Linked DNA regions of Sus scrofa. Each later gene encodes a partner of the first gene's protein in a complex. Links are inferred from orthologs where the notes say so. Each region holds a gene or a part of one and is shown in the gene's direction. Other genes may lie near its edges. The genes, in order: DPM2, PIGY, PIGC, PIGQ, DPM3, PIGH and DPM1.

Evidence for each region.
Region 2: DPM2 (region 1) and PIGY share a complex: the UniProt entries of both Homo sapiens proteins name them as parts of the glycosylphosphatidylinositol-N-acetylglucosaminyltransferase (GPI-GnT) complex. The link is inferred for Sus scrofa from reciprocal best matches to the Homo sapiens genes DPM2 and PIGY.
Region 3: DPM2 (region 1) and PIGC share a complex: the UniProt entries of both Homo sapiens proteins name them as parts of the glycosylphosphatidylinositol-N-acetylglucosaminyltransferase (GPI-GnT) complex. The link is inferred for Sus scrofa from reciprocal best matches to the Homo sapiens genes DPM2 and PIGC.
Region 4: DPM2 (region 1) and PIGQ share a complex: the UniProt entries of both Homo sapiens proteins name them as parts of the glycosylphosphatidylinositol-N-acetylglucosaminyltransferase (GPI-GnT) complex. The link is inferred for Sus scrofa from reciprocal best matches to the Homo sapiens genes DPM2 and PIGQ.
Region 5: DPM2 (region 1) and DPM3 share a complex: the UniProt entries of both Homo sapiens proteins name them as parts of the dolichol-phosphate mannose (DPM) synthase complex. The link is inferred for Sus scrofa from reciprocal best matches to the Homo sapiens genes DPM2 and DPM3.
Region 6: DPM2 (region 1) and PIGH share a complex: the UniProt entries of both Homo sapiens proteins name them as parts of the glycosylphosphatidylinositol-N-acetylglucosaminyltransferase (GPI-GnT) complex. The link is inferred for Sus scrofa from reciprocal best matches to the Homo sapiens genes DPM2 and PIGH.
Region 7: DPM2 (region 1) and DPM1 share a complex: the UniProt entries of both Homo sapiens proteins name them as parts of the dolichol-phosphate mannose (DPM) synthase complex. The link is inferred for Sus scrofa from reciprocal best matches to the Homo sapiens genes DPM2 and DPM1.

Annotation. Positions count from the first base shown.
Region 1 is NC_010443.5:268,420,592-268,425,418, reverse strand, and holds the start of DPM2 (dolichol phosphate-mannose biosynthesis regulatory protein), read left to right. Parts: upstream 1-1,861; 5' UTR 1,862-1,909; coding exon 1,910-1,912; intron 1,913-2,205; coding exon 2,206-2,295; intron 2,296-3,566; coding exon 3,567-3,669; intron 3,670-4,443; coding exon 4,444-4,502; 3' UTR 4,503-4,827. UniProt on the Homo sapiens protein: Regulates the biosynthesis of dolichol phosphate-mannose. Regulatory subunit of the dolichol-phosphate mannose (DPM) synthase complex; essential for the ER localization and stable expression of DPM1.
Region 2 is NC_010450.4:130,525,823-130,530,729, forward strand, and holds PIGY (phosphatidylinositol N-acetylglucosaminyltransferase subunit Y), read left to right. Parts: upstream 1-1,748; 5' UTR 1,749-1,820; coding exon of another isoform or gene 1,821-2,023; intron 2,024-3,121; coding exon of another isoform or gene 3,122-3,263; 5' UTR 3,264-3,352; coding exon 3,353-3,568; 3' UTR 3,569-4,161; downstream 4,162-4,907. UniProt on the Homo sapiens protein: Part of the glycosylphosphatidylinositol-N-acetylglucosaminyltransferase (GPI-GnT) complex that catalyzes the transfer of N-acetylglucosamine from UDP-N-acetylglucosamine to phosphatidylinositol and participates in the first step of GPI biosynthesis.
Region 3 is NC_010451.4:114,824,275-114,827,544, reverse strand, and holds PIGC (phosphatidylinositol N-acetylglucosaminyltransferase subunit C), read left to right. Parts: upstream 1-1,566; coding exon 1,567-2,460; downstream 2,461-3,270. UniProt on the Homo sapiens protein: Part of the glycosylphosphatidylinositol-N-acetylglucosaminyltransferase (GPI-GnT) complex that catalyzes the transfer of N-acetylglucosamine from UDP-N-acetylglucosamine to phosphatidylinositol and participates in the first step of GPI biosynthesis.
Region 4 is NC_010445.4:41,173,067-41,177,667, reverse strand, and holds the start of PIGQ (phosphatidylinositol N-acetylglucosaminyltransferase subunit Q), read left to right. Parts: upstream 1-1,302; 5' UTR 1,303-1,344; coding exon 1,345-1,481; intron 1,482-4,132; coding exon 4,133-4,601. UniProt on the Homo sapiens protein: Part of the glycosylphosphatidylinositol-N-acetylglucosaminyltransferase (GPI-GnT) complex that catalyzes the transfer of N-acetylglucosamine from UDP-N-acetylglucosamine to phosphatidylinositol and participates in the first step of GPI biosynthesis.
Region 5 is NC_010446.5:94,659,974-94,663,069, forward strand, and holds DPM3 (dolichol-phosphate mannosyltransferase subunit 3), read left to right. Parts: upstream 1-1,594; 5' UTR 1,595-1,717; exon of another isoform or gene 1,718-1,784; intron 1,785-1,894; 5' UTR 1,895-1,899; coding exon 1,900-2,178; 3' UTR 2,179-2,250; downstream 2,251-3,096. UniProt on the Homo sapiens protein: Stabilizer subunit of the dolichol-phosphate mannose (DPM) synthase complex; tethers catalytic subunit DPM1 to the endoplasmic reticulum.
Region 6 is NC_010449.5:91,305,893-91,310,000, reverse strand, and holds the end of PIGH (phosphatidylinositol N-acetylglucosaminyltransferase subunit H), read left to right. Parts: intron 1-1,152; coding exon of another isoform or gene 1,153-1,164; exon of another isoform or gene 1,165-1,205; intron 1,206-2,140; coding exon 2,141-2,281; 3' UTR 2,282-2,330; coding exon of another isoform or gene 2,331-2,423; 3' UTR 2,424-3,879; downstream 3,880-4,108. UniProt on the Homo sapiens protein: Part of the glycosylphosphatidylinositol-N-acetylglucosaminyltransferase (GPI-GnT) complex that catalyzes the transfer of N-acetylglucosamine from UDP-N-acetylglucosamine to phosphatidylinositol and participates in the first step of GPI biosynthesis.
Region 7 is NC_010459.5:52,370,448-52,374,555, reverse strand, and holds part of DPM1 (dolichol-phosphate mannosyltransferase subunit 1), read left to right. Parts: intron 1-584; coding exon 585-684; intron 685-4,108. UniProt on the Homo sapiens protein: Transfers mannose from GDP-mannose to dolichol monophosphate to form dolichol phosphate mannose (Dol-P-Man) which is the mannosyl donor in pathways leading to N-glycosylation, glycosyl phosphatidylinositol membrane anchoring, and O-mannosylation of proteins; catalytic subunit of the dolichol-phosphate mannose (DPM) synthase complex.

The DNA of each region.
Region 1 (4,827 bases):
TCTAGCCGTGGGAAGACAGTGTTCCAGGCCTCGAGCTGAAGACCTGGTGGGTGATCTGGCCTCCAGGCCTAGGGAGGGGCCTGCACACCGGTCAGAAGGCCTGTCTGGGCTGTGGCACACACGGGACCCGAGAGGCAGAGGGGAGGGAGGATCCCCACCCCGGCCTCATTCCTGCAGTGAAGAGCGGCTCGCCAGAGAAGCTTGGCAACGGTAAAGGGGTGCCCTCACAGCCAATCAAAACCAGCCCCATCCCAGCAACTCAAGCCAGACCCTCCTCCTCCCACTCCAGGCTGGTGAATCTTTTTTTTTCTTTCTTTTTTTTTTTTTTTTTTGCAAGCAAGCAAAGTCTTTATTACAGGAAAGCAAACAGCTCCCAGGACAGCTGGGAAGGGCAAGAAGAGCCCCACTCTCTATTGGGGTTTTTATCCCTTAAAGATGGGGGGGGGGTAACCAACGTGAGGTCCAGAAAGCTGTGGTTTTCTCCCATTGGCCTTGCCCAGTTCAGTCCTTGTCCAATAGGGTCTTAGGGGTGGAAATGTCCCGTAAGTCCCATGGTGTCTTTGCCCTTCTCTTCCCGTAGCCTGAGTCAGGGGGCTTTGAGATTAATGTCCGTCTGGGCGTAGGTACACTCCCTGGAGGAAACAAGGCATGTGGGGATGTTACTCCCTGGAGCCCTTTAGCCGCAAATGTTAATCAATAGACATATCCAAGAATGCATCGAAGCCCAAGCTCCTAACACTGACTACCTGAGTGACTATTCTGCCTCAGTGCCCCCCCCCCCTGCCCCCAGAGTTGGAGACTTTAACTTTGGAGGCGGGGGGACAATGACCGACTGCTCTGACTGCTTCCTGCTGACAAGGGGTGTCCTTAGGGAAAGTGGTTAGGTCTCCACTCATGGCACGGTCGGTTGAGTGGGCTTCAATACATTACCTTGGGTACCCTTTCTTTCACTATCTGTAGGTTGATAGCTTTTAATCAGGACATAACAAAGCAAGACCTACAATTAATTATCTAGGGTCCAAATAAAAGGCTCAAGATCACAATGATGACTATGGTGAACAAATATTTCCATCAGGAGGAGGAGGAGGTCAACCCGTTCCAGAGGGCAGCTCTAAAAGCTGGATGGAGCTGGATCAGACATCTCACGAATCTGCTGCCGGAGATCTCGCAGGGAATCAGACACGTTCTGCGAATAATCAGGAATATAGGCACAACATTCAGATTTTATGACAGCACGGGTACCTCCTTGGCCTGCACTGAGTATGTCTAAGGCCATTCGGTTTTGCAGCACTACTTTTCTTATTTGTTTTTGTTCCATATTTAGGGTAGGAATAGCTTCTGCAGTATCATTAAGAGATTGTGGAGTAAAATTAGTTAAGGCTTCCACCCTCAGCATTATCCGGTGAACGTTTGTCTGCACCCTACCCTCAACAGAAGAGTTGGGGCCACCACACCAGGAAGTAGCGCCCTCGGGTTCTGGAGTCGGCTGCACCCTCTACTCGGATTGTGATCTTCAAGTGCTTGCCTCTTTCTGAGCCTCATTTTCCCCGTCTCAAATATGGGACTTTCGACCCCCCACCCCATCCCGCTCTGGCCTTGGGACTCGGATATTGAGATGGGGTTTTTTTCTGGGTCGAGTTCGACCCGACTGAGACCATAAATGCAGCCTATCTGGGTTCCCCACTGGGTCCCATTTCCCAGGGTGATTCGGAAACACGGCCCACAATACTCTTGAAAACTACATTTCCCGAAATGCAAAGGGGAGGCGGTGCCTGCCTGTCTTGGGCGACGTAGTCCTGGGACTGCCTAAAGACTACGACTCCCGACGGGCCCCGCGGCCCAAGGCCAGGAGGGCCCGGATGCGGAACCGGATGTGGCTTACGGCTCCGGTGCCTGGAGCGCTGGGGAAATGGTGAGCTTGGGGCTGGGAGTCCTGGGAATGAGGGCGTCTGGGTGTGGGGTCCTAGGTCTACTCAGAAGCTGAGGCTTGAGCTCTCGGGAGCCGGGATCACTCTCCCGCCGGCCCATCGTACGGGTGGTAGGTCTTTAGCCTGCACTCTGTCTCAAGCCAGGAAATGGAAACCTCGTCAGCCACGTCGGATACGCCTGCTGAGTGAATGGGCGTAATCAGGCGGCAACTCCCCCCTCCGTTAGTGCACCTAAATGGAGGGTCACTTCCTCAGTTGAGCTTTCCCTTTTCTCCAGGCCACAGGGACAGACCAGGTGGTGGGACTCGGCCTCGTCGCCGTTAGCCTGATCATCTTCACGTACTACACCACCTGGGTGATTCTGTTGGTATGTGTGCTTCCTCGTCCGCTCTCACCTCCTATCCCTAGATCTTGAAGCCAACTCCTAACATTTAAGCACGTGACAGGCCTACCTGCCCATGTAATGAAAGCGTCAGAGCAGCAGTAGGAGGACGACACTAGCGGTGTCCCCATTGTATAGATGACGAAGCCGAGGCTCAAGGAGAAGGTTCAGACCTAAGGTAGAATCCTGAACCACTACACTGTAAGGTCCTGTGCCTTTAATGGGAGTTCTAGTCCTTCTGGTTATCCTGCGGGCTCCTGGGCATGACAAGTGCCAATGGGTTTTGTGAGGGTCTTTGGGATATCCCCCCCCCCCCCGGTGGAAAAATGTGTTAAAATGTGCAGTGTGTTTGGGAATCAAAATCTTTTTTTTTTTTTTTTTTTTTTTGCCTTTCTAGGGCCGCTCCCGTGGCATGTGGAGGTTCCCAGGCTAGGGATCGAATCGGAGCTGTAGCTGCCGGCCTACACCAGAGCCATAGCAACGTGGGATCCAAGCGGCATCTGCAACCTATACCACAGCTCATGGCAACGCCGGATCCTTAACCCACTGAGCAAGGCCAAGGATGGAACCCACAACCTCATGGTTCCTCGTCGGATTCGTTAACCACTGAGCCACGACAGGAACTCTGGGAAGCAAAATCTTGCAGAACTTGATGTTCTTTGGGAGAAAAATCTTAGTAAAGAAAACTTTTGTGGAGTTCCCGTCATGGCGCAGTGGAAACGAATCCAACTAGGAACCATGAGGTTGCGGGTTCAGTCCCTGGCCTTGCTCAGTGGGTTAAGGATCCGGCATTGCCATGAGCAGTGGTGTAGGTTGCAGATGCGGCTCAAATCCCGCATTTCTGTGGCTGTAATGTAGGCTGGCAGCTGTAGCTGCGATTCCACCACTAGCCTGGGGACCTCCATATGCCGAGGGTGCAGCCCTAAAAAGCAAAACAAAAACAAAAACAAAAGATCTTGGAGCCCAGATTGGGATTCCTCATGTACCCTTTGCCCCTGCTAAGCTGTGGGGGACTTAAGCCAGGTCCCCAGCAGCAGCTTAGAGCAGGCACCAGGGAAGTACCTAGTATACCACTTGTAGAAAAATGAAGGAAGGGAACCAACCAAAGCACCCAAGATGCCATCATCTTAAAGAAAAGCAAATGCAGCCCCAGCGCTTTGACGGGGTCAGCCCCTGAGACAGAGGAGGTGGGATGTTTGGGCTTGGGGCGCTCAGCAGAGCCAGGCATGCTCACCGGAGCTCTGCCCTTGTGCCAGCCATTCATTGACAGTCAGCATGTCATCCACAAGTATTTCCTGCCCCGGGCCTATGCTGTTGCTATCCCGCTGGCCGCCGGCCTCCTGCTGCTCCTCTTTGTGGGTAAGTTCTCCCAACCCTGGGCGGGGTGTCTGAGGGACCCCATGACCCTCTCCTACACCTGAACATGCGGCTGTACTTTGGCCCCTGCGGTACACCTGCTGGAGGCTCCTTGCCCTCAGTTCACCCCCTGGGGTTTCCGTGTTCATCCCTCAGGGCTGCAGGCTTCTCGATCCTCAGGCTCACTGGACTCTAATGGGGTGTCTCCTTGTTTCCTGCTCCTTCCACCACCATCACCCCTCACCCCCTTGTCACTTTGGCCTCTGATTCCTGCACCCCTCTGACTCCCAGGGTTTAGTGTGTGGGCTTCCTAAGGCCAAAGACTGTATCTTCATCATTACTGTGTCCTCAGTGCCCAGCACATGCTGTGGCACTGAGTTGGTGCTCAAAAAAGTCATTTGAGTGAGTCAGCAATCAGGTGTCTGGATGATGGGGTAGGTGGATGGTAGGTGCTGAGTGGGCAGCTGGGGAGGTAGGTGGCCAGATGGTTGACTAGCTGAGTCGATGGATGGTTGGGTGGATCTTATTCCCTGTAAAATCGGAAACACAAATCCAGCAGGTGGCCTGTGGTCAGCCCTCGGCTGATGTTTGTTGAATGAATATAGGTGGGGGTGTGGCTTAGCGAGCCACTTGGGAGATGACCGGGGGAACCTGGAGGGTGGCTGGGTCGGTGCCTGGCCCCGCCTGCGGGTCCCTCTGTCATGCTCTGTCCTGCTCCGGCCTCCCAGCAGCCCTGAGCCAGGACCTTAACTGGCCTTTCTGGCCCGTGTGTTCCAGGAGTGTTCATCACCTCCGTGATGCTGAAGAGCCAGAAGGTGACCAAAAAGGCTCAGTGAGGGCCTGGCCGATATAAGGCTGCGGCCCTTTCCGTTTCTTCGCCAGGGCAGACCCAGGCGGGGGGCCCACAGGACCCATCCAGGCCCTGAGGCCCCCCTCAAGCCCAGCTGCCCTGAAGGCCCCCCCCGGCCCAAGGGGGACGGAGCTGTTCAGGACTCGCCCCCCAACTGCCCAGAGCCCCTCCCCTCCCCTCCTCCCCCTTCCAGAAGCCAGGAGGGAGGCGTCCCTGGAAGTCTCCCTCTCACCCCCTTCTGGCTCAGTGCCCGAAAGATGCAGCTCATCGCCCCTGCCCTCCGCCACCTTCGGACTCCCCGGCACTTTTCC
Region 2 (4,907 bases), on another chromosome or scaffold:
ACAAAGAGCATCCAATGATGTAGTAGATTTTTTAAAGTAGAGTGAACAGACAACACAAATTGCCTCTGCTTTTGCACTGCTGAGTGGAAGAGAAATTTGGACATACAATCTTGTATGTGTATCTATATATCCCTCAACTCCTATCCCCACCTCCCAGGAGCTCAAAGTGTGAAGTGGTAAAGCCCCAACGATGCAAGAAAAGATTCAATATTTAGCGAGACAACGAGAAAATTTGGACGTTCCCCTCGTGGCTCAGCAGGTTACGAACTCAACTAGTATCTATAAGGATGCGGGTTTGATCCCTGACCTCGCTCAATGGGTTAAGATCTGGCTTTCCTGTGGCTCTGGTGTACGCTGGCAGCTGCAGCTCGTATTTGAGCTCTATCTAGCTTGGGAACTTTCATGTGCTGCAGGTGCGGCCCTAAAAGGACAAAAAAAGGGGGTGGATTTTGATGACTAACCAAGAATCTTCTAGTATACTGGGCTGCAAAGAATAGAGAAAATAAAAATGACAACATATGCCATTAACTGAGCATTCATTTGCCACAGGCATTTTTCTAAATACTCTTTGCATTCATTAGCACATTTTAAGCCCCAGGATGGAATTATATGAGGTAGGAACAATAATTAATCTAATTACACAGATAAGAAAGCTGGGGAGGGAGTTCCCGTCGTGGTGCAGTGGTTAACGAATCCGACTAGGAACCATGAGGTTGCGGGTTTGGTCCCTGCCCTTGCTCAGTGGGTCAAGGTTCCGGCGTTGCCGTGAGCTGTGGTGTAGGTTGCAGACGCGGCTCGGATCCCGCGTGGCTGTGGCTCTGGCGTAGGCCGGCGGCTACAGCTCCGATTCGACCTCTAGCCCGGGAACCTCCATATGCCGCGGGAGCGGCCCAAGAAATGGCAAAAAGACAAAAAAAAAAAAAAAAAAAAAAAAAAGAAAAAGAAAAGAAAGCTGGGGAGTTAGGAGATTTGCGGGAGCCCTACAACTAGTAAACGATGCACCTGGGACCAAGGTGTCAGGCCCGGACCCCCGGCACTTACCTCCTACACTATAAGAAAGAGATCAAATCCGCATCATTTTCTGGGAGAGTCAGAAGCAAATGCGGGGCGAGAAAAAAACCACTGTGTGGATCACCCACTTAATTAAAGGACACAGTTACTTAGACTCCTTGCGGTTTCCAAGCTCATTTACAGAAGCAAATGAGTGGTGCTATTATTATGCCATTGAGCCCAGGGTAAGAAACTGGGCATCTTAAGTTTAAGAGGACTAAGCCATTCTTTTCCCGTTCTTATATTTTTTTTAATGAAAGGAGAAAAAAAAAAAGCCAAACAAGGTTATAGGAAGTGTGGTACTGCAAAGACTGACAGATACACATAAAACAAGTAATGCTTTTTAACATACCCAGTGTGACAGTGTGTTGGAAACCTCCTTTTGGTGATAACCACGGAGGTCCAAGTCTATCACTGTGTGACTCTGAGGTCCGGCCACTGGCTTCCTGGAGGCCCTGCGACAGGCCCTGGTGAAAACTCAGGACGCCTCCACTTGAGCGTGGGTTTTGTCTGCAACCTGCAAACGGGCAGGAAGAGCCGCAGAAAGCCCAGGCTGCAGGCGGGGCTCTCCATACCGAGCGGTGCCGCGGGAAAAGCAGTCGGGTCCCGAGCGCCCTCGGAACCAAAGAGCGGGCCTCCAGCCGTCGGGGGCAGCGTTTCCCGAGCACCGGGGGGCGGGGCCTGGCCGCCTGGGCGGGACTCCCCGGGATCGGCTGGAGCGGCCGGAGCGGCCCAGGGGGTGCGGAGGTCCGCGCGCCGGCGGCCAGACCATGCTGAGCGGAGCGCGCGGTCGGCTCGCCTTAGCGCTGCGAGGGACACGCGCGCCGCCGTCCGCGGTCGCCAGGAGGTGCCTGCACGCTTCGGGCTCGCGGCCGTCCGCGGACGAGAACAAGAAGGAGGGGAAACCGCCACGCGCCTTCGACCCGGCGCTGCTGGAGTTCTTGGTGTGCCCGCTGTCCAAGAAGCCGCTCAGGTAAGATTCGTCCGCTGCGGCTTTTCCCTGGTGGCCCCCTGTCGCCGGGGAGACGTTCAGGTCACCCGGGTGTTCTTCGCTGCCATGTTTTGGACCCGGGCCCGCCAGCTTCCCGGGTACTCGCTCCGCCGCGGGAAGGGCGGGAGGAGGCCCCAGCCGAGCCCCAGGCCTCCCGGACCAAACCGGCCACTCGCAGGCCTGGATCCTGGCGGGCAGCTTCTCCGCCGGCAGCGTTTTAGAATCTCGGGGGAATCCTTCTTAAAACGCAGATCTCTAGGCAACGCCCCACCCGGGCTCAATCCGAAGGCCTTGGGGCCGAGCCAGAGCAACTGCGTATTTTCTTGAAAGGATCCCAAGTGATCTTCCTGTACAGCCAGGGTTATGAACTCGGGATTCGGAAGACTAATCCATGGCATTCAGATTTTTAAGGCAAGGCGATGAAAAATGTGATAGCTTCCAGATTGTTGCGAAAACGCCGGGTAGGATCTTAAGCGCATCAGCTACGTGTGCGGCCCTTTGGTTTTTAGTTCTCGACCAGCCGGTTCTGTAAAGGCCTTCTTAACCTTTCACCTAGACTCTTTAGGATAAACATCTCTGCAGTTGCAGGCTGCTAAACCTGAACGTGGACAATACTAGCAAACACCGCAGTGTCATCAGTGGCTGCCTTTGGGTGGTAGATTGCTGCTTCCGTGGTTTCCTTCTCATGGATCAGTGAGGCAGGTGTTCTGATAAGCGAAGAAGCTGAATTTTCCTCTCGTGTCTGTTCCAGTAGTAAATTAGCTGGGATCGTTTGAGGGTTTAAAAGAGTCATGAAGGAATATTTGGATGAAAAGGAGAGATCTTTTCTTTTTTTTTTTCCACTAAGGCATAGCTTAAGAATAACGTGAAAAAGAAAATGAGAGAAACAGACTAAAATGGGAACAATTAGAGATTCCTTTTCTAAGAGAAATGGTTGAATTGGCTACTGCTGCTTTTAGAATGAAAAACAGTCTAATTCTGCTTTTCTGGCTCTAACTGTGTGAAGAATTGGATAAATGTTACTGTTTATTGAACCTCAGACTCTTCCGGGATTCATTTTGGTTTTCTTCTGCCCCTCAGATATGAACCATCGACAAATGAATTGATTAATGAAGAGCTGGGAATAGCCTATCCGATTATTGACGGGATTCCTAATATGATACCACAGGCAGCTAGGATGACACATCAAAATAAGAAGCAAGAAGAAATGAAGCAGCACTAGGTCATACGTAAACACAACACAAGGAAATTTTCTAAACACCATCCACCTTCGAAGAAGCCAGCGTGGCGGGTGGTGGGTGGGAGAGAAGAATGTTTCTGTCTCTTCCCACGCTGACTGTCCTTGTCCCCCTGGTCTCTCTGGGAGGACTGCTGTACTCCGCCTCCGTGGAAGAGAGCTTCCCCCAGGGCTGCACCAGCACAGCCAGCCTGTGCTTCTACAGTCTGCTCCTGCCCATCACCATCCCCGTTTACGTGTTCTTCCACCTCTGGACTTGGATGGGTATTAAACTCTTCCGGCATAATTAACGCAGCCGGAGCCACGATGGTATTTAAACTCATGATATGCTTGAGTGAGTGTGTCCGAAAGCTCCGCCACATGGAAATACTGGAAACCCAGACTTTGCAGGAAAGAGGCTTTGCTTATTAGCCTTTGTCAGAGGTTTAGGACTATGTGACGTTTAAGCTGCAAGAGGCTTCTTTCTTGTATTTTGGTTCTTCCCCTGCTTTTTGAAGGTTCTGATTTATACCTGGTCTCTCGGAAGAAACATTTCAACAAAGTGGCTTGTTGGAAATTAGCACCCCCACAGCCATCATCTGATGGCTTGTTCTTATCCCATTCATAATTAAAAATTACTAATTCGAAATTGTAGGTTTGTTTTTAGGTTCAAAGCCTTTGGTAAAGCCACATGTGAAGGATGACTGAGATAATTCCAAGGAGCTATGGGGAGTAATTGTAGAGAAATGCATTTGGACTAGTGTGATATAAAACTATAATAAAATGTAAATTTCATGTACTTGCCAAAATTCTGAGTTGGTAAAATTGCCTTCATTTCTTTGGCATCAGATGGCTTACATTATTAATAAGATATTGACATTTTCCATAAAACAATTTGCAGTTTTGTGTTTGGTTTTTTTTTTTTTTTCCTTTTGGTCACAAGAATATAATTCAAAGACAAGGAAATTATATGTTTAGAGAGGCACCCAAAATAGAACAGAATTTCCCAGGAAAGTATGTGCTGTGAGGAGAGGTGGAATTGAAAGACTGGCAAATAGCTGATTGTGTCCTGTTGAGTTTAGTTAGGGCGATTATTGAGCCACATTTCAGTTTATTTTTCTGCCATAAGAGACCTATTTATTTAGCAATACTAAGGGCATGAGCATTTGACACATTAATAGTTATTGATTTTCCAGAATTTTCAATAAGACTGATTAGTACAATAACTGTTTCAGAAGTATAACAAATGTTTCAGTATTTACCCTCATGAAGCCTAAGAACTCAATGTAACCTTAACTGATTCTTAATAGAATTTTAAAGTAGTGTAAAAGAAGCTTTAGACAGTGATTCTTCCCCTTAAAAAGAAAATTTAAAACATGAGGTTAGGCATTCCCGTCGTCGTTGTTGTGGCTCAGTGGTTAATGAATCCAACTAGAAACTGGGGGGTTGTGGGTTTGATCTCTGGCCTCTCTCGGTGGGTTAAGGATCTGGTGTTGCGATGAGCTGTGGCGTAGGTCGCAGATGCAGAGCAGATCTGGCATTGCTCTGACTCTGGCTCTGGCTGGTGGCTACAGCTCCAATTAGACCCCTAGCCTGGGAAGTTACATAAGCCGCATGTGCGGCCCTAGAAAAAAATAAAGTATAAGGTTA
Region 3 (3,270 bases), on another chromosome or scaffold:
TCACCCATTCTTCTAGGGAGAGGAGCCGGGAGTTCCCTTGCGCGGCCAGGAGGGGGCAGCAGTGACCTCAAGGCCGCGCGGGCAGAGGAAGGACGCTCTGGCCGCAGAGGTTGTGGCGGCCCCGGAAGTGCTCGGCCGCCGGCGCGACCCCGGCGCCCCGGATGGGGAAGGAGGCGGGCGGCCGCCCTCGCCCGGCCGCGCACCCCTAGGAACTCGCGGGCAGGTGGGTTCCGAGTGGGAGTCAGTATTTCCGGGCCTCCTCCGCCATCCCCCGCAGGGCCGAGGCTGGGTGAGGGGTGGCGGCGGGCGGGGTACACCCTCGGGGACACCCTCCCCTTCCCCACCCCCTCCCCAGCCCTGTCCCCGACCCAGCGGGCGGGCGTTGCCCTTTTCAGCGCCTGGGACCCTCCAGCCCCCTGCGGCGGCCGTGAGATGCCGGGGCTGGGGTCCCTGCTGCGGTGAGGGAGCCTCCCAGGGCGTCTGGTTTGTGAAGCAAAACCTATCATGGTCTCCATGGAAGACGTAAGGTCGGGCCATAAGAATTTTCTTCGCAGACCTGCTGGATGATCTTGGTATTTCTGACTCTTAGTTTTGCAGTAGTGGAAAGGAGATCATTATCTCCGATCCTTCCTAGAGTTTCGCGTTAAATAAGTAGAATGATAACTCTTTTTAAGGCTGCTAAACTCGGTCAAGGGATTAAGAATCTCCAGTCCTTGGCTTTAGTTAAATAAACCTTAGAGCTTGTACCTTTATTATTATGAGGTTTTTGTTTTTAGACCGGTAACTTTTTTCAGTAATAGATGCCTCTGAGAACCCAGTAAAAGCTTTGGATCCTAGCCTTAGAAATCTGCATAAATTACAACTACAAATATGCATTGACTGGGAGGGTTGTTGAAGGGTCTGAAGCCCATCCATAGACCTCAGGGATATGTGAACCCCTGAGTTAAGAACTAGTTTAGAGGGAGACATGTGAAGCCTTTGGGAAAGAAGTTTCCTTTGAATCTGGCTCCACTAATTACCACTGTTAACTTGGGCTAAAGTTACCTAAGCACTTTGAATTGCTGCTTTATTAGTTGGGTTAATCTCCAGGATTGTGGAGATTAAATGAAAGAAGCTACGTAAGGCTCTTAGTACATAGTATGCACTCTTGACAAATGGTAGCTGCTAAGGGATTATAATGTAAAATCTGAAATGAAATTTTAATGTCCTCAGTTACATGATGGCCACCATATATATTTTGTTCAGACTTCTAATAAGCTTATGATAACCCAATAAGTTGGTTTGATTTTAACTCAGTCCTACCCTTGACCTTTCACAACATTCATAGATTCACAGTCTCTCTTTTTCTAGGAACTTGGCTATATTGTCCTGCCTCAGAGAACAAACTCATCTACTAAAGGTCTAGCCTGGGTTCTGCCTTTGAAAGCAAGGGAAGGTTGGTACCATATCAACCACATTCAACATGAAATTTCCAGAGAGGTCTTATTTCAAAACTTTATAAAGAACAAGAACCACATGGACTTCTACAACGGAGATTGAACTAGCCTGAGTTTGAGCAAAAGGATAATGTGTTCACAGCCTGTAACTAACACCAAAGAGGCCAAGTGGCAGAAGGTCTTGTATGAGCGACAGCCCTTTCCTGATAACTATGTGGACCGAAGGTTCCTGGAAGAGCTCCGGAAAAACATCTATGCCCGGAAATACCAGTATTGGGCTGTAGTATTTGAGTCCAGTGTGGTGATCCAGCAGCTATGCAGTGTCTGTGTTTTTGTGGTTATCTGGTGGTATATGGATGAGGGTCTTCTGGCACCCCACTGGCTTTTCGGGACTGGCCTGGCCTCTTCATTGATTGGCTATGTTTTGTTTGATCTCATTGATGGAGGTGAAGGACGGAAGAAGAGTGGGCGGACCCGGTGGGCTGACTTGAAGAGTGCCCTAGTTTTCATTACTTTCACATACGGCTTTTCACCGGTGCTGAAGACCCTGACAGAGTCTGTCAGCACTGACACCATCTATGCCATGTCAGTCTTCATGCTATTGGGCCACCTCATCTTCTTTGACTATGGTGCCAATGCTGCCATTGTATCCAGCACACTGTCCTTGAACATGGCCATCTTTGCTTCTGTCTGCCTTGCCTCACGCCTGCCCCGGTCCCTACATGCCTTCATCATGGTGACATTTGCCATCCAGATTTTTGCCCTGTGGCCCATGTTACAGAAAAAACTGAAGGCATGTACTCCCTGCAGTTATGTGGGAGTCACACTGCTTTTTGCATTTTCAGCCTTGGGAGGCCTCCTGTCCATTAGTGTTGTGGGAGCCATACTCTTTGCCCTTCTGCTGGTTTCCATCTCATGTCTCTGTCCTTTCTACCTCATTCGCTTGCAGCTGTTTAAAGAGAACATTCATGGGCCTTGGGATGAGGCTGAAATCAAAGAAGACTTGTCCAGGTTCCTCAGCTGAGTTTGGTGACTTCCATTCTGTTACTAAGACAAACTGATAGACTAGCCCTCCAACTAGTATAAGATTCGAAGGCAGAATTCCATTCTGGAAGCAGCATGCTGATGTGGGTGGGAGATCAGAAATCAAAAGAAAAAGTTAACCAAAGGCTTGGGTGGTGAAGGTGCTTATCCTTTCTGTTATTTTGTGGCGGGAAAAGCTTTGTGGGGCCCTCTTCAATTATTGCCTCTCATTCAATGTAACAAATGAAGTGATGTGGTTTCTATCTATTAAAAAAATTAACAACACATCCATCAAGTTGTCTCACAATTTTTCTGTAAGCAGAAGACAGACAAAAGGGACACAAAGAATATGTGTGTGGATTTCCTGTCGTGGCTCAGTGGAAACGAATCTGACTAATATCCATGAGGACGCAGATTCGACCCCTGGCCTTGCTCAGTGGGTTAAGAATCTGGCGTTGCCATGAGCTGTGGTATAGGTCACAGATGAGGCTCGGATCTGGCATTGCTGTGGCTGTGGTGTAGGCCAGCGGCTACAGCTCCAATTGGATTCCTAGCCTAGAAACCTCCATATGCCATGAGTGCGGCACTAAAAGAGAGAGAGAAAAAAAATATGTGTGCATGTAAAGTCACTTCTGTCTGCCTTTTTCTGTGTACTAAATGCAGGCTCTGTTATTTATCTCCAGCTCAAATCCTAGGACCCTGGATGCTATATCCAGTTTTGTTGCCTCAGATCACAGAATTGGTCACCTAACTGACTAGAGTTTCTACTCAGTTCTAGAAGCATGTATGTAATTAACTGCAAGGGGAGTGT
Region 4 (4,601 bases), on another chromosome or scaffold:
GGATTCAGTCCTGCTCGGCAGCCGGGATCACCTGCCTCCCAGCCCCCAGGGCCCAGGAGGCCTGCCCTTCGGGGCCAGCAGCTGAAGCCTGGGGATCTCTGGAGAGTTGGGCCAGCTGCCAGCCCTCCCCCAGGCAGGATCTCCCGCTGGCGCCGCAGCCCCTGCCTCCTAATCAGACAGAAGCCGGCGGGGAGGGTGTGGCTGGGCTGGGCTCATCAGGGCAGTCTGGGAAGGGGCGCGGCCCCTCACAGTCCCCCATTTTCAGAGGCGCCCCAGGTTCTGAGCCTCCTGCAGCTTCTCTGGCCTCAGCCGAGGTAAGGGGGGGCAGAAGAGGGGCTGCCCTGGAGGCGCCCTGGGCTGTCACGTGGCTGAGCTGTGAACCTCCAGGCTCCTGGGCGTCTTCTCCCACAGGAGGCTGTCTGAGCCGTCGTTTCCTCCTCCGCAAACGAGGCTGCAAGGGCATGGGGACAGTTCTTGTGAGGACAGACTCCTGCTGCTGAAAAACAGCAGGAACAGGAGGCCCGGAGGGGCGGGCAGGTGCGGGGTTACTCTGAGTCTGGGGCCCAGCCTTGCTCCCAGTTCCAGTGAGGGGGTCTTCAGGGGGAGGGGACAGTGCCTAGTCCTGCCCGGGCGGCTGGTGAGGGATGCTTCTGCCTCTCACAAGGACTGTGGTTTAGGGGTCTGTGGTTTGGGCCATTGCCTGACAAGGTCCCGCCTATATGTTCCGGCTCTGCGGAGGTGGCGGTGGGTTAGCGGGTCAGTGTGGAAAGTTCTGTTGCCGGTTCTCAGTAAACATTAGTTGCTGCTGCTGGTGTTGGGGGTATTTTTCCCTGGAGCAGGAGGGGCCATCAGATCGGATGGCTTCAGCCTCTGGGCTGGCCCTCCAAGCTCACGTGGCCCCTGCAGGAACCAGGATGCTGGGAGAGGGGAGCCGGGAGATCCCACCCAGGACTTGGGGTCCTTTCACCTGGATGGTGGGGGGCAAGGAGAGGGCGGGGATCCTCATTTGTCAGGTCTAATGGGTCCCCAGACGAGGAAACTCGGGATGGGAGAGAGGTTTGGTGGCTGCGGCAAGGTGGATGACTGGAAGGCAGGGGTGTTGGGGACACTGTGGGTAGGCTGGAGGTGGGACAAGGGCTTTGTGCACAGAGCGTGAGGAGGACCAAGGTGCGCGGCGTGGGTCGGGCAGACGGGGACGCTATGGCAACAAGGGAGTCATTCTGGCCACACTGGCTCGAGGGTCCGGAACGTTGCATGCGGGGAACGCTTGTGCGTGAGGCCGGCGGGCAGCCCGGGCACATTTGGGGACGGACCGTAGCGCGGCAACGCCGGGAGCGGGCGGAAATGGGGCTCCTGTCCCGCGGCACGGCCGCGGCGGGGCTGGGGGCCGTGAGCGCCGTCGTCCGCCCGGGCCCACCCGTCGTTGTCCCCAACCCCATCCCGACCCTGCCGCCCGAGGGGGCGGCCCCGGGGAGCAGCCGGTGAGCACTCAGGGGGCGGGCCAGCGTCCTGCGGCGCGACCTTGGGGAGCTGCCCCCGCCGGCCTGTGGTCCCGACTCCCGCCGCGCCGCCCGACAGACCCGGGAGCCCGAGGGTCTCCGGAGCCGCGCTGGCCTCCTGCTTCTCGGAGCTTCTGTTTCCTCATTTGTAAAATAGGGACGCTGCCGGCCAGGGCGGGCTTGAGACTTGGGAGGGCGGTGAGGCCCCGCCGGGTCCTCCTGGGGCCCGTCCGCCAAGCCCCGCGTTTGCGGCGGGGCGGCGTGGGTGCCCTGGCGAGGAATCTGGTCCCGGCCCTGTGGGGTGAAGGGAGGCCAGCCGGGTCCCTCTGGCCCAACCTGGTTCCCGCTGTGGACTCTTTGGAAGGGCATTCAGGGTCATTGGAACCGGCTGTCAGCACTTTACAGCTGTCCCTGACTGCAGTAAAGGGCAAAACCCAGAGCCCTAGATTCGTGTCTCTTCTTCTGAAATGAGAGAAGAAAAGCACTGTTTACTGAACGCTTGTTGTGTTCTAAACACAAACACATAGAGTAAGAACGGATCTTGTGAGCTCTTGAGGAGCGCGAGTCTCCACAGGGGAGGGCTAGAGACGTCCCTGGCTGGTTGTAACTGGGCTTTTGCCCTGGATCCACTCGCGCAGAGGTGGGAGGCCTTCAGCCTCATGAGGTAGGCTACTGAGTTGAGCTTGCCAGGCGCCGGGCATGCCCGCATTGGCCTTCCCCAACGGATCTGGAACGGGCCGGGTCCCAGAGGACAGACCGTCATTCTTAACAGAGGCAGCTTTCCCAGGCTTGTGCACAGTCTTTAAAGATGTTCGAGGCGCGGGGTTGCTGCCTGCTCCCTCCCGTCTGCACCTCTGCTATCGATTGCCTGCTCTTTCATCTTTTCCTGGCGGTCTGATCTGAGAGCCTTCTTTGTGCTGGTCCCGCCCAGAGGCTGAGGCGGGGTGGGGATGGAAGCTTGCCCCATGATTTAAGAGAAGAGCGCTCTCTCTGCCCCACGGACGGGAACACCACCCTTTGCTCTCTGCTCTTCCCTAGACAAGAGGAGCTTTTTTTGGGAAAAGTTTGTAGATGAAGCATAAAACACACAAAGAAAGTGCACCTACAGGTACAGCTCAATGAATTTTCTGAAAGTGAACTCAGTGTGTAGCCCACTTCCCCCAGAGCCCCTGCTCGCTCTTTTGCCCGTGGCCTGCAGCAGCTTGATGTGATCTCAGTTCCCAGGCCGGGAACAGAACCCAGGCCGCAGCAGTGAAAGCTCCAGGTCTTCACCGCTAGACCCCAGGGAACTCCCTCCCACCAGTTGTGTTCAGTTTCTGACATCGGCTACGGGCAGTTTTCCTTAGGTCCTGTGAAAGGAGTCCCAGGCAGGGTGTGATGCTGTCATTTGGCTGAGCTGGTGTGTCCGATGGGCTGGTGCTGAGAGGCTTGGACCAGGCTGGCTGGTCCCCCAGGTGGTCACCCAACCAGATGTGCCAGGACCCTAAGGCAGAACGGCTCTGTCCTCACAGTGCCCCTCAGAAGGGTCAGGAAGGCCAGCTGGTCCTTGCTGATGGCCACAGAGACTTTCTCCTGGAGACACTCGCGTGGCTGGCCCTCTCTGGTCTCTGGGCAGAGGGGCATTTGGAAGCCTGGCTGCTGGTTGACTCAGGGGACCCTTTCCATTCAGAACCCACAGGTGGGAGAGGCCTCCCCCTTCAGCTGTGCCCTGACTACCTGGCGGGAGGAAAGCAGCTGCACCTGTTGCCCCTCCCAGACTGCTCTAACCCTCAGGAAAGGCATGTCCTCAACATGTGTGTCCTACTCTGTCCCCTGTTCCCCAAGGCTAGTTGGAGGTCCTGTAAGGCTGGGAAGGCTGGCGTCCCCTCTGCTGTTCCCCTGGTGGGAGAACTTCTAGACCCCTCCTTGGTCAGGGGAGTGGGTCCTAGAGGAGGGCGGGGCTCCAGGGAGGGGGGGCAGAGCTGAGTGCTGGAGGCTCCAGTGGTCTGGTGGTCGTAGAGAAAACCCTAGGCAGCTGGCCTGTGCCCTGGGCGCTGAGGCTCCCCGGGGGAGGGTGCGGGCTCCCTGGGGCATCAGGCCTGCCCCCAGGCATCTTCTGGGCCCGCCTGTGCCAGAGCCAGCTGCCAGTGCCGGTGCCCTGCCTCATTTCCTTCAGCTCAGCAGCCATTTAATTTTTCGTCTTTGTTCTCGCTAACTTAGAAAATCAAGGTTTGTTAGATTTTTAATTTACATTAGTTGTTCATGAGATCGTACGTTTTTCTATGTGTATGCAAAGAACTGTCATCAGGTCCTTAAAAACAAAAATTGCACCCTTGTGCCCAGCTCTGTGCAGTGCCCCCCCCCAGCTTGCTCGGCTCTGAAGGGGGACGTGTGCCCCTGCCTCAGGGTGGGGTGGGAGCAGCCTGGGCCGAAGACGGACAGCCGGGCCTCCCCACCAGCCTTGTGACCAGACCCAAAGCTGGGTCACCCCGACCTGTGGGCCCAGCGGCCAGTGGATGTGTCTGTCAGGGCCGACTGGGCCACATGTGGGCCAGGGCCCACAGGTCGGGCGCTGCCAGCCAGCCCGTGGTGCTTGCGGCACAGTGGCGGCGGCGGCGGCAGCTCTGAGCGGAGCCCTCCCCCCTCTCTTCCAGCGTCCCCAGCATGGTACTCAAGGCCTTCTTCCCCACGTGCTGCGCCTCGGCGGACAGCGGCCTCCTGGTTGGACGGTGGGTCCCTGAGCAGAGCAGTGCCGTGGTCCTGGCCGTGGTGCACTTTCCCTTCATCCCCATCCAAGTCAAGGAGCTTCTGGCGCAGGTGCAGCAGGCCGGTCGGGTGGGCCTGGCCGTGCTGGGCACCTGGTGCCACCGCCGGCAGGAGCCGGAGGAGAGCCTGGGCCACTTCCTGGAGGGCCTGGGCGCGATCTTCTCCCACGAGCCCTGGCTCCAGCTGTGCCGGGAGCCGGGCAGCAAGCTCTGGAGCTGTAAGGCCACCCGCTGGCAGGCACCCCCCGGCCCTGCCGCCCCCGGCGAGGACCAGATCATGCTCATCTTCTACGACCAGCGCAAGGTGCTGCTGTCCCAGCTGCACCCTCCCGCCGTGCTGCTGGACCGCCAGGCCGGA
Region 5 (3,096 bases), on another chromosome or scaffold:
TCCCCATGCCACGTGTGTGGCCCTAAAAAGCAAAATAAATAAATAAATAAAATATAAATAAACAATAGCAATTTAAAAAAATTGAAATTCACTATCTTAATTTTGTAGTTTCCATGTGGAACCTCAGTCGACTTCTCAGTCCCTGCACTTAACTCCTTCACTTACATCTGTGCTTACCTTGAACCTACTGAAACACTGCTTCATTTAAATATCACCTGAACGCAACCCTTTCCCCATAGCCTGCAATGACCTGGCTTTTTCCTTAGAAGCTCCACAGTCCCTCTGGTGTGTGCTCTCTCTTGCAGCAGCAAGTGAATAAACCTAACTGTTTGATTACAGTTATATTTCTAGTGGTCTTATCAGACAGGCTTTTATAATGCTTATTCTTTTCTTTTTCTTTTTTAAAATTTTATAGCTGCACCTGGGGCACAAGGAAGTTCCCGGGGCCAGGGATAAAATCTGAGCCCTAGCCACGACCTACTCTGCAACTGTGGCAACACAGGGTCCTTTTAACCCACTGCACCTGGCCAGGGATTGAACCTGTACCTCCACAGCCTGCCAAGCTGCTGCAGTAAGGTCCTTAACCCACAGCGCCTGGCAGTAATTCCATCTCTTTCCTTTCTTTTATAATTCTTTGTTTTCCCTTAATTTGATAATTGCCTGACATTTTGTCTTATTTGGTTTTCTATATAGCTATCATGAATTCGTCTGCCAAATTCTGAAAGATGTATACCCCTTCTCTTAATACCTTAAACACATCAGGTAACTCCTCTGTCCCCACGTTTTTTGTCCCTTAAAGACACCATGCCGGAGCACTTCTTCCTCTAGCTCCAAACCATACTGGTTGTTCCCTTGAGTTTCTCTTTTAAAATATGACAACCTTGGAGTTCCCGCTGTGGCACAACGGGATTGGCAGCCTTTTGGGAACAATGGGACATGGGTTCGATGCCCAGCAGGGCACAGTGGGTTAAGGATCCGGCACTGCAGCAGCTGCGGCTTACGTCACAACTAAGCCTCGGATCTGGACTGATCCTTGGCCAGGGAACTCCATATGCCATGGGGTGGGCAACAAAGGAGAAAAATATCAACAACCCTTGTTCTAACACCTATCTCAGGGCACAATGGCTAGCTGTTAATGCATCTGTTTTCCTGACTCTTGCTTTTCACTCTCCACCNCAGGAGAAGCTGAGTGTCTTGACATCTCCATTTCTCCAAAGTCTACTGTGATGATCAAGAAACATTCAAGTATGTATGATTGGGTCATTTTGCTTTACAGCAGAAGTTGACAGCACGTTGTAAATCAACTATACTCTAATAAACAAATTAAAAAATATATTCAAGTGAATGAACGAATAAAAGAATAAACGAATGAATGAATGGGATTTTTGTGCAGAAGTGAGTTTAAGAGGAACAATATTACATCCCCACCTTGTTGCAAGGCCTAAGGCATCCTCGGGTTGTCCACAAGCCTCACGCCAGTAGTGGAGCGGGATCCCGAGGGAGAGAAGCAGCTCCGAAGGCTCCCCAGATCCAGGCCGTGGCTACAGGTGCGGAGCCGACTGAGTTCAGCCTACGTCAAGACCGCAGCCCCGAGCTCGCCAGGCGCTGCTCGCCGACTACAACTCCCAAAAGGCACAGCGGCGGAAACGCGAGCCTTGGAGGATTCCCGACGCTGACGTCAGACCCGCGCGGAACAGGGGAGACGTGGGGCAGCGAGGTAAGTGTAGGTGGATGGAGGAGTCGGGAGCGCAAGAGCAATGGCAGGACGGGGGAGCGACTCTGAGGTTAGGTGCTATTCAGGGTGGGTGAGGGAGAAGGACAGGGACTGGGTCTCAGATGAAGAGCGGGTAGCGGGGTGGCAGGGATCTCGAGCTTTGCCTCCTCTTCCCCTCAGTGACCATGACGAAATTAGCGCAGTGGCTGTGGGGACTGGCGCTTCTAGGCTCCACCTGGGCGGCCCTGACCATGGGAGCCCTTGGCCTGGAGCTGCCCTCGTCTTGCCGGGAGGTGCTGTGGCCACTGCCCGCCTACTTGCTGGTGTCTGCTGGCTGCTATGCCCTGGGCACTGTGGGCTATCGCGTGGCCACTTTTCACGATTGCGAGGACGCCGCCCGTGAGCTGCAGAGCCAGATCCAGGAGGCCCGAGCCGACTTGGCCCGCAGGGGGATGCGCTTCTGACACCCTAACCGAATTCCCGCCTGGACAGCCTGCTCTCTCATTCTCCCATTAAAGAGCCAGTTTATTTTCTAACTTTGTTTGGTTTGAGTGTGGATGGTGGGAATTGGGGGTTCTGTATACCAGCTGTTAAGGGGTAAGAGGTAGAAGAGCCACCTTCCTGTGGTTTTCCCAGCCTTTGTCTTTGCATTCTGCTGGGCTTCCTCATTTTTGCTCCAAAGGAAACAAAGACCTCGTCTCAAAATCTCTCAAATGGAAAAGCCATTTCACTTTCCTGGTTCTTTTAGCCCTATTAGGAAATCCTTCTCTTTGTTTTTGTGTTTTTAGGGCCGCACGTGAGGCATATGGAGGTTCCCAGGCTAGGGGTCAAATCAGAGCTGTAGCTGCTGGCCTATACCACAGCCACGCCAGATCCGAGCCATGTCTACGAACAACACCACAGCTCACAGCAACGCCCAATCCTTAACCCACCAGGAATTGAACCTGCATCCTCGTGGATACTAGTCAGAATCGTTTCTGCTGAGCCATAAAGGGAACTCCAGGAAGTATTTCTTGAAGGCTTATTTCCATTCTTCATAAATTCAAGCTCTGTTCCTTTTTTTCTTTTCTTTTTTTGGCCATGCTGGTGGCATGTGAAAGTTCCCGGGCCAGGGACTGAACCCATGCACAGCAGCGACCCAAGCCACAGTTGTGACAATTCCAGATCCGTAACCTGTTGCACCACCAGAGTCCCCAAGCCCTGTTGTTTTTAAGGCCTTCCTAGGTCTTTCCAACCTCTTGCTTCTTTCAGATAACCTTTTCTGAGCCAACCCTACCAGCCCAAGAGCAAACGTGGCGGGGACATTGCACCTCTAACCTTTACCAAACCAGGCTGGTTGAGTATCCCTGAAGAGAGAATGAGCCTTGATGGGCAGGGGTAGG
Region 6 (4,108 bases), on another chromosome or scaffold:
AGGATCTGGTGTTGCCGTGATCTGTGGTGTAGGTTGCAGACAAGGCTCGGATCCCGAGTTGCTATGGCTCTGGTATAGGCCAGTGGCTACAGCTCTGATTCGACCCCTAGCCTGGGAACCTCCTTATGCCGCAGAAGCGGCCCTAGAAAAGGCAAAAAGACAAAAAAAAAAACAAAACAAAAAAAAACAAAGTTCCCTTCTGAGGCAAATAAAGGCTTTCAGAAATGTTATAAATGTATACAAATTTTAGAGATAAAAATAAACCTAAAGCAACTTCTGCCTATAATTCATCATTCAGGATTTCCCACTGTGGCACAGCAGAAACGAATCCGACTAGTATCCATGAGGATGAGGGTCCAATCCTCAGCTTCGCTCAATGGGTTAAGGATCCAGCATTGCCTTGAGCTGTGTAGGTCAGACAGGGCCCCAATCCTGCGTTGCTGTGGCTGTGGTGTAGGCCAGTACTGTAGCTCTGATTCAACCCCTGGCCTGGGAACCACCATATGCCGCCAGTGCGGCCCTAAAAAGCCAAAAAAAAAAAAAAAAAAAAAATCGTCATTCAGCCACTTTGTCTCTGTCAGTCAGGCAGTATGTGATTTTACAGAGATGCTACTGATCTACACCTACTGTTCTACACTGTTTGGTGTGTTCCTTTTCAAATCTGCGTATTCTCATGCAGCCACAGAGGCCATTATACTGATTATTTTAAATAATTGTATCATATCAAATATCAGTTTATTTAGTCACTCTTTTGTTCACTTTTGAAATCATGTCCAGGTTTTTTCTTACAAAAAAAAAAAAAACACTTATACAAACATGATTATAATATTTTATAGATATATAAAATATTTATGTATGCAGTAAACTGTCTCTCCACCTTTCTTTTTTCACAAAGGATTTAAGGCAGCTAAGCTAAAAGCCTTTTGCATTATAGTTCAAAATTATTTTACTAAAGCTTATGAAGTTTCAAAGATTTTTGACAGTGTTTGAGAGTTGGCTCCAGAGACTGGACACCTTTACCGTATTTTGGGAATTTGTACTTGCTTTTCTATAGTCTTGACTAACAGTGGGTTTAGCTATTTTTTAGTTTAGTGTGTAGGTAAAGGAATTTAGAGTTATTAAATTTGTATCCTTTTTTTTTTTTTTTTTAAGGGCCGCAGGTGAGGTATATCCAAGTTCCAGGCTAGGGGTCAAATCGGAGCCGCAGCTGCCAGCCTACACCACAGCCACAGCAACGCCAGATGCAAGCTCACCACAATGTTGGATCCTTAACCCACTGAGTGGGGCCAGGGATCAAACCCACATCTTCTTGGATGCTAGTTGGGTTCTTTTCTGCTGAGCCACAATAGGAACTCCTGTATTTCTAACTCTGTCAGTGCAAAGAGACTTTTCATATTTCCTTGTATTATCTATATTTTCTTGTTTTAAACTGTCCATCTCCTCTATTAGTCAAGTAGAATCTAGATACTGATTATGTGTTGTAACGATTCACATGTTTGGGGTAGCAAACTTTTATTAAATTTGCTTTCCATGTATTTTTTTCCCATTCTGTGGTTTTTAATTTGTATTACATTTTATTATGTAAAATAATTTTTGATATTTACTTTTCTCTTTTTTTTTTTTTTGGTCGCACTCGTGGCATGTGAAATTTCCTGGGCCAGGGATTGAACCTGTGCCACAGCAGTGATAGCACTGGATCCTTAACCCACTGCACCACAAGGGAACTCCTCAATAGTTACATATTAAACTGCCCTTCTTGACTCTGAGAACTGTTTCGCTTCCTGTGAGGGTCATCCTTGTTATTCCTCTTGCTTGCTCTTAGATGGAGATCATGAAATTTAGACAGATTTAAAACTGTTGGAGTTCCCTTCGGGGTGCAGCAGCAACAAATCCGACTAGGAACCATGAGGTCAAGGGTTTGATGCCTGGCCTCGCTCAGTGGGTTAAGGATCCGGCATTGCCATGAGCTGTGGTCTAGGTCGCAAATGTGGCTCGGATCCCCCATTGCTGAGGCTGTGGTGTAGACCAGCAGCTGTAGCTCCAGTTCGACCCGTAGCCTGGGAACCTCCATATGCCATGGGTGCGGCCCTAAAAAAATAGTTTAAAAAGTAAATAAAACTGTTGAGCTCCTGCTCTGCAGTTCACAGGCTGGGCTGTGGGCCTACAAAGGGACTCCTCCCAGCGAGGTGCTGTGAGGCCTGAACTTCTGCCTCTGAGGCCACACCCGTGCCGTTTGGACCCCCTTGTCGTGGGTGAGAGACTGCAGATGCAGCAGCCCTGAGCACTCTGACGTTCATCCTGACTCTGCACTTCTCCCCCTTGGAATTCAGAGTGCCAAGCCCCGGCTGGACTGCTTGATTGAAGTATACAGGAGCTGCCAGGAGATCTTGGCACACCAGAAATCCACGTCAACCAGCCCGTGAGTCCCAGCATTCGTGATCAGTATTATCTCCCAGGGGAGGTGACTCCTCAGCCACAGCGACTGGTTTATTTTCCGGATTCTAAACCATCAAGTGGATGCAGGCCCAGTAACCAGTCTGGATGCGGCGGATCCCAGAGCCATAGAGCAGCTGACTGGAAATCTAACTTATTTTCCGTGCGATGCAGCGGAAAATATTTATGTATGTTTTAGGGTTTCCCCTGTCAGGTTTTGTGTACTTTACCAACTGAGGGGAGACCTCGAAACCATACGTCAGAAGTAACACTGACAAAGAGCACTTTGTGAAATTCCTGAGCACATTCAAGTTTACTTTTTGTTGCAATTTGTGGAGCAAGAAAATGGGAAATCGATTATCAGATCTCTTGAGAAAGGTAATTTCCAATTGCACTGTACCCCTGTATAAAAGTTGAGAGGGAGGGAAAAAAAAGCCCTTCAGGTACTGGTTGGTAGGAGGAAATGTCCTACAAAAGATGAGCCTCTGCCCATCTAGCGCCCATACAGGGTTAGCTTATGATGATTCTCTTAATAAGCAGATCTCTTTCCAAAACATACAAGGAATTGCTTGGTTCAGGCAGCTGCTTTTTATTGACAGACTTGATCATGGCATTTCAGTCATGGGGGTTAAGCACATTAATACTCTCGTTACTCAGCATTGTCTATGGTTTCAAAAACTTCTTTTGCCAAGAGGGATGAGACAAAAAGCCAGACAGAAATTTGACTCTGGTTTCCAGATATGTTAAAGGCCAGACTACAGAAGCCTCTGTTTACATGGCAGTTTCTTCTGTGTAAAATTAACGAATTAGGGCAGGATTCCTGAAGGGCTGGGAAGAAGATGGGGCGGGGGAATAGCTGGATCCCCAAATTCAGTATGAACACAGCTCCAGTCTTGCTTACTTTTTCTTTGGGATTTTTTTAAAAATTCCTGGGTAGGTGATAATATTCTTATTTACTTTAGAGCCACTCAAGATCTTACAAAACTAGAGCTGTAATTTCTGCCTTTTATACCAGCCCTGGAAGGGTTATTCAGGAGCCTGCGGGGACATGGGACATGTCACCTGTTGAGGTAGAAATGTCTCAGCTAAATCCCAAATCCTGGGGGAAGGGCAGGAACAGAAATGGGAGACAGCTATAAAATTGCCAGCCTGGCAAAGTCAAGTTTGTTTAAAAGAGGCCGACACTCTGATGTGCTGCTTTTTTCGTCATGCCTGTTGATGTAAAGAGTGAGAGAGCAGAAGCTTACAGCCACTAAGGTGTTCCAGTAAACCAGTTCCAGCCTTGCAGTTCTTGCAGTGTGCAACACACACACACTTTGTTGGGGTTAAAGGCCTGGTTCTTGGATGCTACTGCTAAATCCATATCGTTTGTTCAGCCTTTATTGACAAATGGTAAGACTGCCTTAGAACTATGAAATAAAACGCAGTTTCTCCAGTGTTGGAAAATCAGAGTATGAATGAACTCTTTCGTTTTGTTTTTCCTGTTAGGGGAGGGTGGAGACAGGTCACCTCTGCAATCAACAGAAGGCCTCACTCAGGGAAGAGGGGATATTCGTATCAGCAGGGGGCCTGACACTCTTAGGCCAAGGCAGGTAACACAGACGAGTGCTCTGTCCTCACACTGGTTCCCAGCGCGGGTTCGCTGGAAATCCAGAGGGAGCAAATCCAGGCCCAC
Region 7 (4,108 bases), on another chromosome or scaffold:
AAAGGGGCTGGGGAGAAGAAGATGTGGTGATCAAATGTAGATCCGACTATTGTGCTGGCTTGTTTCTAGAATAGAAACTATGACGAGAAGTTAATGAGAACAACAAAGATGTTAATGTTGAAGTGCATTGAAATCTTTGGACATTCTTTTTATAGTTGGGGTAATGGGTACAACTATTTGAAAAGGTGGTGTAAGAGATTGTCACTGTTCTAAAGTGGATTTTTAAAGGGTGAAATTAAATCGGCTTTATTCCTGATAATGTTAACTTAAATCTCTTTGGGATTGAATTAAAAAGTAATCACCCAGACCTACTCAGTTGACTTGAGTACATACTTGAGTACGTTTTCTCTGTAGAAATTTTTAACATCTCAGGACTGTATAGTAGCATTTCCAGCAACATGCTGAGTTTGGAGGTGACATACTAAATATTTGACATTTGCTTCATTGATAATTGAAGTTTTCCTTGATGATTAACATGGCAATAAGTTTCTATTTATATAGGGAAGAATTAGTGATTTTTAAATTATCCTTTAATTTAAGAATATTGTCTCCAAACTGTACAAATTTAAATTTTTTTGTTTTAGTGGCATCAACTATGAGATTATAATCATAGACGATGGAAGCCCAGATGGAACAAGGGACATTGCTGAACAGTTGGTGAAGATCTATGGGTCAGACAAAATTGTAAGTCATTTTTTTATCATATCAGTTGTGTTTATATATGAGAAAAAATGACAAATGAACAATGCTCAAATTCAGTCTGTCTAGAAACTGAAACGATAAAGAGCGAATTACATGCTTGGGGTTTAGATGCATTTTATTGTGCTTGAAGTTTTATGTCTCTTTGATTTGTGGAGTCAGTGGTAAGTTTACAGCAAAATAACGAGCCTTTGGGTGAACTGTTTTTATGTCTGACTCTGCAAATCACTTTTCTTGAGCGGTAAAATTAAAGCATGGTACTGAGTTGACAGTAGAGCCATGTTGCAGTTGGTAATGTATGTCTTCATTTTTCTTGCTGTTTCTCTCTTCCACTTTCAGTGGAGAATACTGCCTGCAACTAAAAGCTATAGATAAAAACTTGTAGCTGGGAAAGGTCACTGATTGTTTTCATGTAAAACAAATGATTTTTCAGGGCACTTTGGCATTTTTACTTTTATATATAGAACAGTTTGGTGGAAGTAGATTGACTTTCTGAGTCTTAAACTTTAGGGTTTCCCACTGTACCTGAAAGCCTGTTTTTCTTCTACAAGAGTAACTTAAGCAAATGTAGACTTCATTTTATAATGGGTTCATAATTTTGATTTTTGGCCACTGGTTTGGCTTTATGAATGTTGGAGCATACTTGTGAATTCAATTTCAGATAATTCTTGGGCCAAAAGCTTAAAATTAAATCCAAATTTAATTAGAAAACACATTCTAGGCATTGGGTATTTTGTAGTTTGTATAAACTAGAATGTCTCCCTCTTGGCACTACTGACACTGGGACCTGATTGGTCTTTTCTGTGGGTGCTGTCCCCTATGTTGTAGGGTGTAAGCATCATCCCTGAGCTCTACTGAGGAGATGGAGTAGCAGTCCCCCTCCCCAGTGTGGCAACAAAAATATCTCTGGAGATCATCAAGTACCCTCTGCAGGCAAAATTGTCCCCTCCTCCCAGTAGAGAACCATTAGTAGAGGTGTAAAAAGAGTCTCTTTGAGAACCTTTATTGGCATGTGCATTTCAGGAAATGGCAATTAAGCATCATCAAATTATTTCTGGGTCCAGTTATTCTTGATTAATCCCAAAAATGAAATAATTTCCATGCAGTTGGAGGAGATCTTACTTGGTGGGAAGAGTTTAAAGGAAATGTGTTACACAGTCCATCTGTCCTGTAATAGAGGGTCTTTCTGTCTCACAAATGAGCAGTTCACAGAACTACAGTCCCCTCCAGGCCCCTCTGGATGGCTCCAGATAGACAAGTGCACAGAGGAGATAAAAACTTAGATCTTCATCCTTCCGACGGTGGCTTCAGATAATGCTGGGTTCAAGTTTTTGGCTAGTTGCTCAGATTTTTTTTTTAAAATAAATTCTAGGTCAAGGCCACCCATTCACATTTATTACGTATAGATATACTCTCATTATGCACTTCCATTTTATCAGGGAACATCAACCTATTTTGAGTTCTTTTGTCATAGAACCTCAGCCTTGAGGTGTGGTTGATTGATATATCTTAAAGAATGCCTGCTCAATTGACCATACATTCTTAAAACAGCATGGTCCTCAAGGTAGATTGAAAACAAAGGGAAAAAAATAGCATACACTGTCATGATTTCTGGATAGTACCAGGGAAATTCCCTATTCATTCATTATCACTTTTTTTTTTTTTTTTTTTTTTTTTTGGCTTTTTAGGGCTGCGCTTGCAGCATATGGAGGTTCACAGGCTAGGGGTCTGATTGGAGCTACAGGTGCCAGCCTACACCACAGCAAGGCAGAATCTAAGCCACGCTTCTGCAACCTACGTCACAGCTCATGGCAACGCCAGATCCTTAACCCACCAAGCAGGCCAGGGATCAAACCCTCAACCTCATGGTTTCTAGTCGGATTTGTTTCCGCTGCACCCCGATGGTAATTCCTATTTTATCACTTTTAGATCAGCTAAACTAGAACATTATTTTGGAGGGGCAGTAACAAGCTATGCGAGAGTTGGCACTTACTTGCCTTTTAGGTGACATGTTTAGTTGGGAGAAAAGTTGGAGAGAAATTAGGAACCATCTTACAATACTTCAGATAAAATATGCACAGATGCTTTGTTAGCTAGCCCTTTCAAACTGGCTGAAATGAGTATTTCAGGGAAAAACAAACAACAGGGAAGATACATATGTTTTTAACTCTGTAGGTCGGAAACAAACTAGAGGTTCAGTCACTTTCCAAGGTTACATGGCTAACTGATAAATGGTAGGAGTGGGACCATAGAAAAATTGGAGGCACATATTCTAAACTGTTAGCAGTGGTCACAGGGCAGGGAGACGGGAGGTTTGTAGGTTTGTATGTTTGATGTGTGTGGTTTGTTTCACCCCCAAGCAGAGATCAGATAATCACCTGTATTTTCTCATTATTTATGTATAGTTTAGTATTTTTAAAAATTGTTCTGATAGTGAAATGTAACGCACATTCATTATTTTTAAAATGTCAAGCGTAACTACAAGATTGAGAGATTTGAGTACTTAAAACTATTCTGTTGGACTTCCCTGGCTTCTCAGCAGGTTAAGGATCTGGCATTGTCACTGCTGTGGCTCTGGTTATTGCTATGACATGTGTTTGATCCCACAGAAACTTCTGGGTGCCATGGCTGTGGCCAAAAAAAAAAAAAAAATTTCTGTTCATCCTCAACAAAAGTATTATCTCTGACAAAGAGATTAATACCCCAATTAAATGTACAGAAACAGATAATTCATAAAACAAGAACTTCATATGGCCAAAAATGGGAAACAAAAAAAAAAAATGAGCCTCACTGATAAATAAAGATTTACAAAACAGAGTATTATTAGTGTTTTTTTAGCAGGGTTTTTTTTTTTTTTTATTCTTTCTCTCAACCTTGAGAGATCGAAAAACAGGTCCACTTCTAAATACCCTTGGCTCTAGTGGACATTGATACCGTTTTCTGAAATATCATCAAGATTTTCTAGAATAAAGATCTCTACAACTAAGTTTTTGTCTAACAAGTCATAGTGTCACACAGCATTTTCCAAGCAGTCGTGGTAAGCATTCCTCAGAGAGTATGTACCTGGCATCCTTACACACACTTTCTGTACATGCCCAGCTTCTCTTCTGCGAAGCCATCCTGCCGCCGTGAGAAAAAGCGATCAAATCGATGCGAGGAGGCAAAAAAAGGAGAGGCTGGGCCTCGGGATCTCAGACTAAAGCATACTAAATGTAACAGTTCGAGCTTTTTTAATACTTATTTACACCACAGCATCCCTGTTATCTTGTTTTTGTTGTTGTTGATTTTCCACCTTTTTTTTTTTCTTCTTTTTGGCTGAGCCTGCACCATGCAGAAGTTCCTGAGACAGAGGTCGAACCCACACCACAGCAGCAACATTGCCAGCTCCTTAATCCACTACACCCCTGTG